Linked DNA regions of Stegostoma tigrinum. The protein of the gene in region 1 interacts with the protein of each later gene in a biochemical or structural test. Links are inferred from orthologs where the notes say so. Each region holds a gene or a part of one and is shown in the gene's direction. Other genes may lie near its edges.

Region 1 (8,766 bases):
CTGCTCTGAGATGTCCTTGACCCTGACACCAGTGAGGCAACACTCCATCCTGAAGTCTTGCTCATGACTGCAGAAATGCCAATCCATGCCCCTAACTAGAGAGTTGCCAATCACAATTGTTCGCTTGGACTTTGCCATACCCTATTTTACAGCAGAGCCAGTCGTGGTTTCCCAAGACCTGGACTAGCAAGGGAATAGGAGGAAGCAGGGGTGAGCTGGTGGTGTGGTGGGATGGTAGATGCAGCAGGAGCTAGTGGAGGGGGCAGTAGGTCTAAGAGGAAGGGCAGAGAAAGGGGAACAGGAATGGCTGAGGAAGTGTGAGAGAGGCAAAGGGACTGTCAGAGGATGTGGCAGGGGGAAGAGAGGGGGGAATGAAGGTGAGAGAGCTGGAACAGAATAAGTGGGAGGAGATTAGGGTTGGGTGCAAGAGGTCATGGGGGCAGAAGAGTGGGTCTGCAGAGAATGTATGGAGATGGGAGCAAATGGGCAGAGGAGGGCAGGAGCAGGATCAGTGGAAGAGTGGTTTAGAGAAGAGGCATAAGGACATATGGAATGAAAAGGGGGAGGTTGCAGCAGTGCAGTGTTACACTGGACAATGTTTTACTGGATAGTGTTTTACTGTAAACTGCCTTGTATTGGAGACAGGGTTTTACTTGTTAGTCTTTAACTGGATGGCGTTTTAGTGGAAAACAGCCCACCAACTCGCACAGCTACCTCGACTACACCTCCACTCACCCACCTTTCTCCAAGGATGCGATCCCCTATTCCCAACTCCTCCACCTCCGCCACATCATTTATGGATGGCACGGTGGCTCAGTGGTTAGCACTGCAGCCTCACAGCTCCAGGGACCTGGGTTTGATTCCCGCCTCGGGTGACTATCTCTGTGGAGTTTGCACATTCTCCCCGTGTCTGCATGGGTTTCTTCCGGGTGCTCCAGTTTCCTCCCACAGTCCAAAAATGTGCAGGCTAGGTGGATACACCATGCTAAATTGCCCGTAGTGTTCACGGGTGTGTTGGTTATAGGGGGATGGGTCTGGGTGGGATGCTCCAAGCGGCGGTGTGGACTTGTTGGGCCCAAGGTCCTGTTTCCACACGGTAGGGAATCTAATCTGCTCCCAAGATGAAGTGTTCCAGTCCCAGACATCCCAGATGTTCTTGTTTTTCAAGGGCTGCAATTTCCTGCTCACAGTGGTTGAAAATGCCCTCGACCGCAGCTCTTGCGTTTCCCACATATCAGCCCTCACACCCCCTCCCCGCAATAAAAACAGTCAGAATTCCCCTCGTCCTCAAGTATCACCCCATTAACCTCCGGATTCAACGCATCATTCTCTGCCACTTGCGCCACCTGCAATCTGACACCACAACAAAGGATATAGTTCCCTCCCTATCTTTATCTGCCTTCTGGAGGGCCTGCTTTCTCCGCAACTCCCTTGTCTGCTCCACGCTGCCCACTAACCCCATCACCCCCGGTAGCTTTCCCTGCAAGCACAGGAGGTGCTACACCTGCCCCTACACCACCCCCTCACCTCCATCCCAGGCCCCAAGAAAACCTTCCACGTTAAACAGATGTTCACCCACACATCCGCTAATGTAGTATGTTGTATCTGCTGTTCCCAATGTGGTCTCCTCTACATCAGGGAGACCAAGCAAAGGCTCAGAGACTGCTTTATGGAGCACTTACACTTGGTTTGCGACAAACAACAACACTTCCCAGTCACGAACAACTTCAACTCCCCCTCCCACTCCCTGGATGACATGTCCATCCTAGGCCTTCTCCAGTGTCACAATGATGCCACCCAAAAACTGGTGGAACAGCACCTCATATTCTGCCTTGGAACCCTCCACCCCAATGGTCTCAATGTGGACTTTACAAGCTTCAAAATCTCCCCACTCCCAACCTCATCTCAAGACCAGCACCCCCTCTCATTCCTGCCCGTCTTCCCTCCCACCTACCTGCCCCTCCCTCCTCATTGACCAACCCCCATCCCAACTTCCTACCTACACTTACCTTTACAAGCTTCATCCCCACTTCCTTGAGCTGTCCATCTTCTTGCCACCTATCTGCTCCACAATCCACCTTCTATCAGCACCTCCCCCTCTCTCTATTTATTTCAGAGCCCCCTTCCCCTCCTCCATTTCTGAAGAAGTGTCCAGACCCAAAATGTCAGCTTTCTTTATCCTTTGATGCTGCCTGGCCTGTTGTGTTCATCCAGCTCCACACCTTGTTATCTCTGACTCCAGCATCAGCAGTTCCTACTATCTCAGAGTTTTCTTGGATCATTTTATTTGGTGTTTTTCAATACGAGGGAATACACAATGAATGGTAAGATCGAGGATCAGACAGTTCTTGGTGTACATGTACGCTGCTCCCTCAAGATGTCGGGACACGTGGATAAAGTGACTGAAAATTAGTTGAGGTAAAGAGTGTACAAGCAGTGAGATTATGCTGGAACTGCATAAAACATTGGTTAGTCCATAGCTAGTGTTCAGTTCTCAAGTCCACATTATAGAAGGGATGTGATAGCACCGGAGATTTACCAGGATGTTGCCTGGGCTGGAGAGTTTAAATTATGAACGGAGATTGGGCACACTGGGGTTGTTTTCTTTAAAGCAGTGGAAATTGAGAAGGGATATGATTGAGATGTGTAAAATTATGAGGGGCATAGATAGGGCAGAGAAGAAAGATTTCTCTTGATGGAGGGATTGATGATTGGGGCATGCTTTTTTGTTATTCATTGGTGGGATGTAGACATTGCTGTCTGGCCAGCATTTATTACCTGTCCCTAGTTGCCGTTGAGAAAGTAGTCATGAGCTACCTTCTTGAACTGCTGCAGTCCGCTGGATTCACTCACAATGCCATTAGGGAGGGATTTCCAGATTTTGACCCAGCAACAGTGAAGGCTGGATGATATATTTCCATGTCATTGTGGTGAGGGGCTTGGACGGGAACTCGAAGGTGGTGGTGTCCTCATAAGACCATAAAACATAGGAGTGGAAGTAAGGCCATTTGGCCCATCAAGTCCACTCCACCATTTAAATCATGGCTGATGGGCATTTCAACTCCACTTCCCTGCACTCTCCCTGTAGCCCTTGATTCCTTGTGAGATCAAGAATTTATCGATCTCTGCCTTGAAGGCATCTAATGTCCCGGCCTCCACTGCACACCATGGCAACGAATTCCACAAGCCCACCACACTCTGGCTGAAGAAATGTCTCCTCATTTCCATTTTAAATTTACCCCCTCTAATTCTAAGGCTGTGTCCATGGATCCTAGTCTCTCCGCCTAAGGAAACAACTTCCCAGCGTCCACCCTTTCTAAGCCATACATTATCTTGTAAGTTTCTATTAGATCCCCCCTCAACCTTCTAAACTCTAATGAATACAATCCAAGGATCCTTAGCCGTTCATCGTACATTAAACCTACCATTCCAGTATCATGTATCTGCTGCCCTTGTCCTTCTAGATGGATTTGGCTCGTGGGTTTGGAAGGTGCTGTCTAAGGATCTTTACAAATTTCTGCAGTGCATCTTGTAGACACTGCCGCTACTAAGCATTGATGGTGAAGGGAGTTTGCCCCCTGATACTCATTGATTCCAGTTTTGCTAGGGCTCCTTGATACCCCACTCAGTTGAATGCAGCCTTGCTGTCACTCTCACCTCACTTCATTTAAGGTAAAGGGCAGGGCAGAGGGTTTACAGGATACAGGAGGGAAATCCTTTTTAGCCAGTAGATGGTAGGAATCTAGAACTCTGCCAGTTAAGGTGGTACAGCCATAAACAGTGTGTACCAAACAATACTGAATAATATTGTACATTGAGGAATGGTGTAAATTGAATAATATATTGGATAACAGTATGCATTGAATAATGTTACATATTGCATAGTGGCAGATATTTGACAGTCATGTATATTTGGTACTGGTTTATGTTGTACAGTGATGGATATTGAATTGAATTAGCTTTATTGTCATATGTACTCACACGAGTACAGTGAAAAGTTTACAAGTCACCACTTACGGCACCTTCTTAGGTATGAAGGTAGCTAGGTACAAATCCTTGGGTACAAAGTTCTTAGGAAAAAAATTAGAAAAGAAATAAAAAAAAATTGGCACTTCAGACCTTGACAAGTAAACAGAAAAATAAAGAAATAAAAGGTTCAGAATAACAGACCTGCCACAATAATATAGCAAAGAAAAATGCATTGAAAAGTGAATTTTATACAAAGTCCCTTTAGTCCATTTCACAGCTCTGGACTACAGGACCCGAACCTGCCATTGGAATCCTGGGCTGGGCCAACCACAATGCCAAAACAAAAATGCCGTATGGAGTCACAGACTGACTGAAGCTCCCAGAAAGAAACCCACACAGACACCAACAAAAACAGCCACTGAAGTTGTCAAAAGGACACCAGATCAACATTGTCTGTTTCATATATTGCATAGTGAATAATGAATTGTATAGTGGTATATATTTAGAAGTACTGTATATTTGAAAATAACATTTGGTGGTGTACATTGGACAGCATTCTTTATTACTTAATGCTATATAACGGTGGATGTTGGACCACATTGTATCTAAATAATGTATATTGCACAATGCACATATTGAACCATATTGGATAAGGTGTATAAGTTAGGCAAAAAAACACAGTTTCTAGAATCCAAACGTAGACAAACAGGAGGCTGAAAGAACACAGCAGGCCTAGCATAATGTGGAGGAAAGCAGCAAGCAATGTTTCAGGTATTACCCTTCTTCAGGACTTTGTTTCATAGTATGGTCGAGGAGCTGAAGAGGTCACAGCAGCGTGGCTCACTGAGCTCACATCTGAGAGAAGCAGAGAACTTCAAAGTGGGCATCCTTTGAAGAGCCTTCACAGTGGTACAACTTGGTTCGAGCCAAAAAAACCCTGCAGATTCTGGAATCGAAGGCAGACAAGTAGGAGGCTGGAAGAAGAACACTACGCCAGGTAGTATCTGGAAGAAAGGAAAAGTCAACCTTTCAAGTATTAACCTTCTTCAGGACAACGCATTTCAAAGTGTATGGCGGTAAATTGCTGTGGTTTGTATTTGGCTTGTAGTGGGGGATGGGCGCAGTGCGAGCTGGCTGCCGGCGCCTGCGCACTGGCCGCTCCCTGTATCGCGCTAAGATGGCGGCGTCCTCCCTGGAGCAGAAGCTGTCGCGCCTAGAAGCCAAGCTAAAACAGGAGAACCGGGAAGCGCGGCGACGTATCGACCTGTCGCTCGACATGAGCTCGCCTTCCAGCCCGAGGAGACCCAGACCCAGTAAGCGAACAGTGCTGTACTGTGGCCTGTGACCAGGAACAGTTTGTGTGGGGTCCGGGGCCCCCTACGCTCCGGATCCGGCCGCGGCCCCGCCGCCTTACAGCGGAAACACGCGTGCGTCACCCTACTGGGCGGGGCGGTCGCTGATTGATAGCCGCCTCAGTCAATGGGAACGGGATATGGCTGCTGGAGCTGGTGTCATTCCGCGGCTCGGTCGAATCACAGCACGGCGGAGGGCAGGGTTAGTTTGAAGTGGGTGGAGGATTCTGAGCTGCGGCCGTTAGATCAGGAACCTTTCCTTTGGATTGGAGAGGCAACTGTCCTCTCCTCCCAGGAACCGAGGAAAGCTCCCCACAGAGTGAGGTTTCCACCGCTCCAACTGTCTGCAGCCCTGGGCTGGGCCGTCATCTGCCGGCAGCTCCTCTGTAGAGTGGGGCGTCGCTGTCTGGTTGACAGCTGTCTCTGCCAATTGCTTCGCAGTGTGACCCATCAATCAGGATGCTTATCCAATCGACAGTGGGGAAGGGGCGGCACCTCCGGGTAGACCGTGAGTGTGAGCGGAAGTTGCTCCCTGGGCCTCTGATTATTGTTTATTTGCGAACAGTGGCTTCGAGCGACTAAGGTTTCCCCCTTCCTCGCTCTAGCCGTGGGAATTGTCAGGGCGTGTGTTGGTGTTAGGATCGCAGTTCTAAGCCCCCTCCCCCCAACATTTCCCGGGTCTGACACCCTATCACAATTGCTTGGGCTTCGAGAAGTCAGCTCATTGTCAACCCCCTACCCATCCAGCAACACCTCTTCTTCATGCAGAATCTTTAATATGGGAAACATAATATGCCATTTTAACAGAAAACTGGCAATTCGTGATAGGCTAAGTAATTTATTGAACGGGATAGCTACTGAGTTATTTTGAAGGAAGGGAGACTCAGGGTTTTAGCTCAGGAACATTTGCAAAATTGTATTCATTCAACTCGGCACAGTGTGCTCCTATGGGTTTTCAAATGACTGTGACTTAACTCACTACTAAGGTAGATGTATCTTCATGTGCTGATTGCTTGGAATAGCGTGTATGTATTGACTTGTGAACTTTCAAGCTTTTTTTTGCTGAATCAGATGTTTTCCCCCAACAAATGCAAAACATAGATTTTCTGAGAAAGTAGGAACTGCAGATGCTGGAGAATCTGAGATAACAAGGTGTAGAGCTGGATGAACACAGCAGGCCAAGCAGCATCAGAGGGGCAGGAAAGCTGACGTTTTGCATCGAGACCCTTCTTCAGAAAATAGATTTTCTGAGGTAGATTCCGTGTATTTGGATGTAGTGATTGCTACAAGCATAGGAATTAAGAGCAGAAGTAGGCCATTTGGTACTTAAGGCCTTCTTGCCGTTTGACACAATGATGGTTTGCCTGTGTCATAGCTCTACTCGTACATTATCCAACCTACAATAACTTGTATTGAAATTCTCTCCAGTTAGAATTGCTGCTTACTAGTACTGGTACTGTAGCAGCGTAGAGTGTTTCTCGTTTGCAGTGTAATACGTCATCTTGATTGATGATCTGTGGTTGACCCCAACAACTGGCCAATAGTCATTTATACCTATAATATATAACAGGTCACTTCCTTCAGACAGGTTTCAGAAACAATTAACCAAGTTTTGACTGTGATAAAAAGTGTTTACTGTTACTGAATATATTAAGAACCTGAGTAATGCCTTTTTCTTTTAGTGTGTATTTATTTAGCAAGTCAGTAATTAAAATCACTAACTGAGCCTTTTTACTTGGGTTGAACCTGTATAATGTCTTGCAAAACTGTAATTAACTCCACAGTACAGATCTTGTAAGATCAAAACAGTACTGTGATCACATTTACAGACTTTGTTAGCGAGGCTGCTTGTTCTGTAGTGTTTAATGTCAGTGTTAGTTATGAAGAGAGTACACGTTGTAGGCAGGGCACTTGCATGGCAAAGAAGGGGTGTCAGTCTTATTTTCACTGTGATTATGCAACAATGCCATTGGTGTAGAAGAGTTCTAAAACACAGTTTTCTAATGTAGAAAGTTGGATTAACAGTTTGTGGAAGCTGTTGGGCTGGGTTAGGTTAATCATTTGATATGTGGACAGTTTTTTGGAGGCGACTGCTTGTTTTGGTGCCTACGTGTAACTGTTTCTGAAACTACTACATAATGTGAGTGTAAATTTAAAATGTTTAAATTGCTTGAGGAAAAAGAAGCCCAAATTTTTTTGATTGTTGTGTTGCTGTTTGTGTCAGATTTTTTTTAAAGACCTGTCTTTTCTTCACCAACTGTAACCAATAAATCTATCTGTCATTTCAGGGGTGGAATGGGGAATCGAAGTATTGTTTGGATGGCTTAGTGACTGTTGTAAGTTTAAGATTGACTGACTTACATTTCTGTAGATTTTCCCTGTCAGAAATGCTTTATACCAATTCACAAAGAATTCATTTGAACTTGAGTGCCTGTAGTATATTTGGAACACATTACTGCATGCATCAACATAGCCAAGCAAGAAAAAAAATCTTTGCTTTGGGCAAAATAACTTTCACATCCGCCATCCTATTGTAAGAGCATCACCAGGTGTTAGGAGCTGTCCCATCTCTTCCTTATATGGAGGCCTAGTTATAGGGGGAAAAAAACGTTCTTTGGAAAATAAGCTGTTGGAATGGAAATTTAGGAAGTCCAAATTATTACAGTAGAAAGAGTGGAGGCAGGTTCAAACTAGTGAAAGGTATGTTTTTGGACTGATTCCAAGAGATCCTTTATGCACGATGATCAAATAGAACTTCATAGAATAGCAGTGAAGGGAACTGTGGCATTTCAAAATAGACAAATGGATAAAGTAGACTCGGTGATATCCTTGTACTTTATGGTTCTTTGAATGTTTGTGTAATCCAATGTTGTGAAAAAGATGGATACTTGGGAGGGTAGTGTGAAATGGTTATTGTTATTATAGACCATGTTATATTATGCATTCAAATCCTTTAAAAACTTATATATGAATGTTGGCTGTGGCAGCTATGATAGTCCTGCTGAAAGTGATAATTGTATGAATCAGGACATTGATGCTTAGTGATAATATACAATAACTGAAAAGACTCTGTATGATACTACAGGTGCTTTGAGGTCTAAGGCAAATGATGAAAGGTCTTAACTAGTCTCTGTTCACAATTAGTGCCCTAGATGTCCCAAGCAATAGACTGCATAGTGTTTTAACCTGTGGCAACTTCAGCCATGCACATTGCAGGCTGAATTTTTTCAAAAATGACCTATTCAGTGGGGTGAAAGTTTTTCTTTGTTAAATGATGCTGTTTAGAAATAAATTTTTAGAATTCATTTTCAAGATAGTACTGGCAGTTCAATTTATTCTCCAAATTATGTTTTCCTGAGAAGTTTGAGCAACTTTGAGTTGAATAATGGCTTGCTACACCAGAATAGACCACATTGGTGTGGGGCTGCATTGAATGCTTAACAGT
Region 2 (8,479 bases), on another chromosome or scaffold:
ATTAATTCAAAAGATTTATTTTCATTCCCAAAGTACTTCCTGCTCCTCAAATATTTGCCAAGTGACAGCGGGATAACTCATTGAGAGATAGTAAGAACTGCTGATTCTGGAGTCTGAGATAACAAGGCGTGGAGCTGGAAGAACACAGCAGGCCAGGCAGCATCAGAGGAGCAGGAAAGCTGACATTTTGGGTCTGGACTCTTCTTCAGAAATTTGAAGAAAGGTCCAGATCCGAAACGTCAGCTTTCCTGCTCCTCTGATGCTGCCTGGCCTGCCGTGTTCATCCAGCTCCACACCTTGTTATCTAGGATAACTCCTTGGCTCTTCTTCAAAATAGTGCCACAGAATACTCGACTTTCAATGAAGAGTGCATTGGTTTACTGTCTCATCCAAAAGCAAGTGCTGGATTCACAATCTGAATTGTATGATTTGACTGCCTTCAAAGAAAATTAATTTGTATCAAAATTCTCAAAACATTGACTTCACATTGCTATTAGTGCTATATTAAAGGGATTGGTTAGCTCAGTTGGCTGGACAGCTTGTTTCTGATGCAGTTTGATACCAACAGCATGAGTTCAATTCCTGTACTGGCTGTGGTTACAATGAAGGATTGTCTTCTCAACTTTCACCTTCCTGAAATATGGTGATCTTCACCAGTCATCTCTATCTAATGTGAGAGTAGGACTATAGCAACATCACCTTTTACTTTAGTGCCATGTTGGCAAAGGCCAACAGATGCAAAGTAAAAGAAAGATCCACAACTTTCCCCCCGCAGTGGTCGAGAACGCCCTTGACCGCGTCTCCCGCATTTCCCACAACACATCCCTCACACCCCGCCCCCGCCACTACCACTCCCAGAGAATCCCCCTCATTCTCACATACCACCCCACCAACCTCCGGATACAACGTATCATCCTCCGACACTTCCGCCATCTACAATCCGAACCCACCACCCAAGACATTTTTCCATCCCCACCCTTGTCTGCCTTCCGGAGAGAGCACTCTCTCCGCTACTCCCTTGTCCGCTCCACACTCCCCTCCAACCCCACCACACCCGGCACCTTCCCCTGCAACCGCAGGAAGTGCTACACTTGCCCCCACACCTCCTCCCTCACCCCTATCCCAGGCCCCAAGGTGACCTTCCATATCAAACAGATGTTCACCTGCACATCTGCCAATGTGGTATATTGTATCCATTGCACCCGGTGTGGCTTCCTCTACATTGGGGAAACCAAGCGGAGGCTTGGGGACCGCTTTGCAGAACACCTCCGCTCGGTTCACAACACACAACTGCACCTCCCAGTCGCAAACCATTTCAACTCCCCCTCCCATTCTTTAGATGACATGTCCATCATGGGCCTCCTGCAGTACCACAATGATGCCACGCGAAGGTTGCAGGAACAGCAACTCATATTCCGCTTGGGAACCCTGCACCCCAATGGTATCAATGTGGACTTCACAAGCTTCAAAATCTCCCCTTTCCCCACTGCATCCCAAAACCAGCCCAGTTCTTCCCCTCCCCCCACTGCACCACACAACCAAGCCAGCTCATCCCCTCCCCCCACCGCATCCCAAAACCAGTCTAACCTGTCTCTACTTCCCTAACCTGTTCTTCCTCTCACCCATCCTTTACTCCCACCTCAAGCCGAACCTCCATTTCCTACCTACCACCTCATCCCGCCTCCTTGACCTGTCCATCTTCCCTGGACTGACCTATCCCCTCCCTACCTCCTCACCTATACTCTCCTCTCTACCTATCTTGTTTTCTCTCCATCTTTGGTCCGCCTCCCCCTCTCTCCCTATTTATTCCAGAACCCTCACCCCATCCCCCTCTCTGATGAAGGGTCTAGGCCCGAAACGTCAGCTTTTGTGCTCCTGAGATGCTACTTGGCCTGCTGTGTTCATCCAGCTCCACACTTTGTTATCTTGGATTCTCCAGCATCTGCAGTTCCCATTATCACTGAGTTCTTAGCAGTGCACTTTATGAAGGATATGACCGCATTGGAGATTGTGGGTAGAAAAGATTCAGGAGGATGGTTCTAAGAATACATAAATTCAGTGGTGAAAACTGATTGGAGAGGTTGGTTCAGTTTTCCTAAAAGACTGAGAGGAGATTTGATAGAGGTATTGAAAATCATGAGGGTTTGAGACACTGCAAACAGAGAGAAGTTGTTCCCACTGAAGAAATGAAAGAGAATAAAAGATTTAAAATAATTAGCAAAGAATCAAAAGTGACATGAAGGTCTTCTTCAAACAGTTAAGCTGGAATTTATTGCCTGAGAATGAGGTAGAAGCATTCAAAAATGAATAAGACTGTAATCTGAAAAAGAAGAAACACAAGGTTACAGCGAGATGACCAAAGAATAACACTACGGGAATCACTTGTTTGGATAGCCGAGTAGACATAATGGGCCTAATAGCTTCCTTCAACACAGTAAAATTACGTGAATCTTCGATGGCTGCGTTATCGTGAACATTACCACCAGGTGGAGCAGTGAGGGCACACCCTCAGGAACCCGACATTGCAGTGTGACATTCTGAACCAATGATGGAGAGGTACATTATCAATGTGTTTTGTGTTTATATGGCAATAACTGATGAAAGAAAGAATCGTTTTGAAGCTTCTACCTGGACTGATAAATTACAGAACAAATTGGATAAAGAGGTGAAAGATGAAAGTGGAAGAGAGGGCCCACTCCAATCGGTTAACATGATGTGCAGGTCCCGGTGTTGGACTGGGATGGAGAAGGTCAGAAGTCACATGACACCAGGTTTTCGTCCGACAGCTTTATTTCAAGTTTTCTGGCTTCTTCGTCACTTCACCTGATAGATATTTTTAATCAACTTGTTCAGACATGTTCTGACATGTTATCGACACACTTTTGGAGCAGGTCAGATCTGAACTCTTTTGGCTCAGATAACAAAATGTGAGGCTGGATGAACACAGCAGGCCAAGCAGCATCTCAGGAGCACAAAAGCTGACGTTTCGGGCCTAGACCCTTCATCAGAGAGTGGGATGGGGTGAGGGTTCTGGAATAAATAGGGAGAGAGGGGGAGGCGGACCGAAGATGGAGAGAAAAGAAGATAGGTGGAGAGGAGAGTATAGGTGGGGAGATAGGGAGGGGATAGGTCAGTCCAGGGAAGACGGACAAGTCAAGGAGGTGGGATGAGGTTATTAGGTAGGAGATGGAGGTGCGGCTTGAGGTGGGAGGAAGGGATGGGTGAGAGGAAGAACAGGTTATGGAGGCAGAGACAGGTTGGACTGGTTTTGGGATGCAGTGGGTGGAGGGGAAGAGCTGGGCTGGTTGTGTGGTGCAGTGGGGGGAGGGGACGAACAGGGCTGGTTTTGGGATGCGGTGGGGGAAGGGGAGATTTTGAAGCTCAGAGTTGGAGAACTACCACTACATCACTAGAGTCCTCCCTTCATTGACAAAGTATCTTTCATCACCTGTGGACCTCTCAAATCAGTTTACAACCAATGAAGTACTTATGAAGCGTAATCACCGTTGTAATGTAGGAAGCATTAACTTTTGAAATGTTGCATTTCAAGTCATCGTTACTTTAAGTATATTCATTTATTTTGAAACCTTATAATGTGAATTGGTCTTCGAACTGGCAAAACGCTGCCCCTAAATAACATGTGTGAAGCTGGATGAACTCGTCAGCTTTTGTGCTCCTGAGATGCTGCTTGGCCTGCTGTGTTCATCCAGCTTCACACTGTTGTCTTGGATTCTCCAGCATCTGCAGTTCACATTATCTCTGCCCCTAAATAACATGATGTTGGAAAGTTACAATTTGTATGGTGCAAGTTATTCGTTTTCCTTCAGTTGAACGCCAGGTGGAACCAGTGAACTCATGTCAGAGGGAGTAGCAGGCAACAAGCTCGCCAGACGGCGCCCTTTGATTAGTTTTAAGGTTGCCCATTGTACGTATATTTATTTCTGATTTTGTTTACAAGCTGTGTTCGTTTTTCTTAACGACTTTCGGGGTGTGGAGAGGCCAAGGAAGGTGCATTGTTTGGAATTCCAACCATTTCTGAGGTTGTCTGTAATTTCACAAAGCACCAATCCTATGAGTTTCAACATGTTAACATACGACTGAACGTTACATGTGAACATACCAGATCTCTGCAAATGAATAGATTCGAAGAATAGATACAGTCACGAATACAACGAAGATGTTGATTGCATCTAATTTTCCAACAAATTTAGTGGCAGATATGTTTTTCCTTAATCACAGACTGCCCTAGGTGCCAAAGGATACCCGTAAACAATCAGGCTCATTGCAAAACTTCCCAGAAACGAAGGCTACGGCTGTACACAGTGACTTTGCAAAGCATTTCCTAATTTTCCCGTTTATTTTATATCTGTTCACTTTTGGAAAGTGCATTTAGCTGCTGCAGATAAATTATTGCTTGTGTAGTATATGATTTGTTTATGCGCTCGGCGGTTGGCAGGCGGAGTTTCCACTCAACTGGAAAACTTGTTACGTACGCGAAATATTCCCCGTCGGAAACTAGAGAGAAGAGAAACAGATTCTATTTCCAACTGGTTCTATTTGCTTTTAATCTCGGACTGAGTGTACTATTAAGAAGTAAAGTACATTTAGTTATGTTTTGAAATTTAGAACAGCGAAGCATATTACATTTCCTGGTGCACCAACCAGGGCAGTTTATAACAGCCGTTACACAAGATTTAATATTTAGTGTCACCTGCAATCCACACTCGAAACCTGCAAGACAGTGTGCTGCACAAAACTTCAGATTTTGATCTCGCTCAATAAAATGACATTCTTAAAAATGCAAATTGATGCAAACTTATGAAGCTTGTTAATGTCTCAACCTTTTTCGCCAAGAGCTTGCAATTAACTTCGAACAATTTGAGGCAATTATGACAATTTGCAGACAAGATGTTTTAGCTCAAATATTAAATGCAAAAAAAAGTTTTGAATTGCATTAAGTTGGCGATGAATGCGGCTGTGTGACTAATAAATAGTATCAGGGCTCTTGGATGGGAACTACCAGACAGCTCAGCATTATCATTATCTAATTTTACATTGCAACTGTGTGGTTTTATTCTAGAAGATTCATTCCAATACGGACACGACTGGCAGCTTCATAATGCCTTGTAGCACGCGAAACTGAGTCATCGAGAGGGAGAAAAAAATACGAAGGGAGAGAAACAAGAAAATTCCCAGAAAATACGCCATCTGGGCTCCCCTGTGGAGGACGTTTAATATTAATCGCCGGTCGGAAGAGCCAATCGCGAGAGCCGTATGCAGATGAGCCGGTGGGCGGCATGTAACCTTTTAAAAGCAGTGAACGCCGCCGAAGAGTCGCAGAACGAAGCAGAGAATAGAGTGCAGTGTCGTTTGAATGCGGATCTCGAGCTTTGGAGGATTGTTACAGTCAGTGGTAGAACGTTACAGCGAAGGAGACTTATCACTGGAGTCTTGAACCCGAGGGCTGTGTTTTTTACCTTGGATTTAATTACAACAACATGACTCTGGAAGATATTACTGGAACTGACAACACTAGCAAAAAGTAAGTTGCTAGAAAATCGATCGTTTGTAGTTGGTCTTAATGAGATCAAGCGGAAAGGATCGCGTATAGATAATCTATATCCGTAGGTTATGTAGTTTGCAGACTCTATTTTTTAAAATGAATATGTTGTAAGTATATATATTTTCATCTCTATCCAGAATGCAGCCAATTGATCAAGCTTTAGAAAAATTGTTGGTGACAGCACAACGCCAGGGCTACCTAACTGTTGGGGTTTACGAGTCGGCGAAGTTAATGAATGTGTAAGTATTGAACGGTTTTTTTTAACCTTCATAACAACTGGAACTAGTTGCGAACAACAACTTAAAAACTGCGATTTAGCATCCATTGACTTTCAGATTTTTGTTGTGCATCGTGATTCTAATCGCCCGTTCTACTCCTGTCCCATATGCAGTGACCCGGACAGTGTAGTCCTGTGTCTGCTGGCGGCCGATGAGGAAGATGAAGGCGACATCGCCTTGCAGATCCATTTCACCCTGATCCAGGCTTTCTGCTGCGAGAACGACATAAACATCGTGCGGTTGCGGGGAGTCAAGCGCTTGGAAGAACTTCTGGAGTCTGGGGACGAGACTGCTGAACCCCGGGACATGCACTGCATGCTAGTTACGGTAAGAATAGCCTGTTTCTTCCCTCCATCCCCGAGCTACAGTGCGCTGCAAAAATCTACGGTGTAGACACTATTAATATCTCTCCGACTTAAACATTGTAATAGTAAATAACTTGTGCATCCGAGATCTCTAACGGCATCAATCCGGATCAGATTGCTAATCTTTCTTCAAATTGTTACAATGGTATTTAGTCGATTCTGGCATTTCAGGGGTTAATCTTGCAATTTGTCGTAAAACGAAACGACAGCGTTTGGGCGGGTACAACTGACTGGAATTGACGTGCTGTTGTCGCTGACGCGATGTTTAATCGGGTTTTTTTTCGTTCTATTTCCAGAACTCTCATACTGATGTTTGGAAATGTGAGGCGTTGGAGGAAGTCGGAAGCTATTGCGAGGAAAGTAGAAACAAGAACCAGTGGGTTCCTACCGTGTCCCTGCAAGAACGCTGAAGGTTTCAAACCAGCTGAAGAAAAGGAAGCTGAGAAGAAGCGTCTTTAATTAAATGAGAAATGTATGCCGTTTTCTTCTACAAAAAGATGCGGGTGGATGAGGAAAAATCATGTTTGCAAAGGCATTTTTTTGTTTTATTTTTTAAAAAGAGAGAAAAGGTAAAGAAGACGGCATACCCGGCGGAAACTTGGCTGTTTTTTAGAGCGGCGAGTGGATTGCAATCCGCTCCCGGAACCGAGAAGACAGCTGCAGAGGAGGAGCTGGACTGGAGGTGTCGAAACCCGATTTGGAAATGGAATGAAGGAGAGATTTTCGAAGCAGGGCTCTTTTGTATCTAGATTTTTTTTGATAATAGACTGGACTGATGCAGAAAGTGGAAGAAAGGATCTGTGAAGACTAGAGTACAACAGGACTATAATCCTGGTGTGGAGGATAGATGGACGGTTTTGTTTTAAACAGTGGTTGGCCGGCCGGCCTCGCCCCCTCTCCATGACTGATGGAGTCTTTTATCCGCGTCCTACTGCAGGCGGAACGTGCGAGCTTGCACTGGAACTGCATTTTGGAGCTGTTTGCATTTCTTAAAGGGAGCTAGCTCCCCCCCACACGAGTTACCTGTACTGTTTCCTTTGTACACCAAGGGGATTTGCAGCAAATGTTAATTGGACTGTTGCACTTAGCTTCAATACTGGGATGTTTTGCATAGAACCCCAATGTTATGTAACGGGCATCGTGCAATTTAATTCTAAACTATTGATCTGAAATGTAGTATTTTTCAGCGTCTTATTTATAACGTTGTGATTTCCTCTCTTTTTTCTTGATTTATGTAAAAAAACCTCATTTCTATTACATTACAATAAATATTTTAACATTTAAAAGTATATACTCGTCTGACTTTTTTCTCCTTGTCATAACATCCACTGCTTTGGAGAAGTGGGATGAAATACTTGATTTTTTTTCTTAATAGTTGGCAGCAAACAACACTTTGAAAAGCTAATTAACAGCTCAGGATTGTACATGCCTGGTTTAGAGTTTGATCATCAAAAAAAAACACCAAGCTTTTACTGTTTCAGTCTGCCGTTTGACCTTTGGATACGCAAAATTAATCAGATTTTCACTTTTAGCCATGTCAAGAAAATTACAACTGTAGTTTTGGCAATGGAGGCCAGATTTTTGTCAAAGCTGCTCTGTTTGATTCAAAATTTAAATCAATGACTTAACTGCAGCTTCACACCTTCCTGCAAAGTGAATTAATGGCTTCATTTTGTAGACCATTTTAATTCCAGTTATAACTTTCCCAATGCACTCCTGATTGGAGTTGTGGGCTTCTTGGTGTTTCAATATATAGACAAGAATCCTGTAGTTTAAAGGTGGTGGGAACAGCTAATTCATCAAGACACCTTCATGTAAATGTATTTGCTTTTGAATTGACAAAGCAGATGTATTGGACTTCAATGATTCCTGTGTTCAGCCAACTCCCAATGGGAAGCTAAACTATAATGTATTAATGTTACAATTTGGATGTGGAATTGGTGATGGTGTTTGGGACTCTCAACAAATAACAGCCTTCTCAAGGAGGTACTCATGATGCAAAGCTGGCTCCAAGGTATTTTCAAATTGTAGCAGAAAAAAAGCAGTCACTAAAATATCACTTCTGTACAGTTGTTTTGACTGTGAAAATAAAACTGATGGTGAGCAATTTTTCTGATGAGCAATGCAGAGCCAGGAGTAAATGTTAAGTATGTTGCTCTACTGTTTTGAAAATCTTTGGGTCACAGTCCAAGTACCTGTGAATATAGATGTGTTTTCCTGCATGATAATTGTTAACTTATTCAAAGAGTCAATCTTTTAAATTGACAGTGTTC

What was found.
Region 2: the proteins of map2k7 (region 1) and growth arrest and DNA damage-inducible protein GADD45 beta-like form a complex in vitro, tested with the Homo sapiens proteins (2 studies listed by BioGRID and IntAct). The link is inferred for Stegostoma tigrinum from reciprocal best matches to the Homo sapiens genes MAP2K7 and GADD45B.

The regions. Positions count from the first base shown.
Region 1 is NC_081388.1:1,330,564-1,339,329, reverse strand, and holds the start of map2k7 (dual specificity mitogen-activated protein kinase kinase 7), read left to right. Parts: upstream 1-5,112; 5' UTR 5,113-5,146; coding exon 5,147-5,282; intron 5,283-8,766. UniProt on the Homo sapiens protein: Dual specificity protein kinase which acts as an essential component of the MAP kinase signal transduction pathway. Essential component of the stress-activated protein kinase/c-Jun N-terminal kinase (SAP/JNK) signaling pathway.
Region 2 is NC_081383.1:7,330,884-7,339,362, forward strand, and holds growth arrest and DNA damage-inducible protein GADD45 beta-like, read left to right. Parts: upstream 1-5,315; 5' UTR 5,316-5,498; coding exon 5,499-5,542; intron 5,543-5,700; coding exon 5,701-5,802; intron 5,803-5,954; coding exon 5,955-6,168; intron 6,169-6,502; coding exon 6,503-6,616; 3' UTR 6,617-7,495; downstream 7,496-8,479.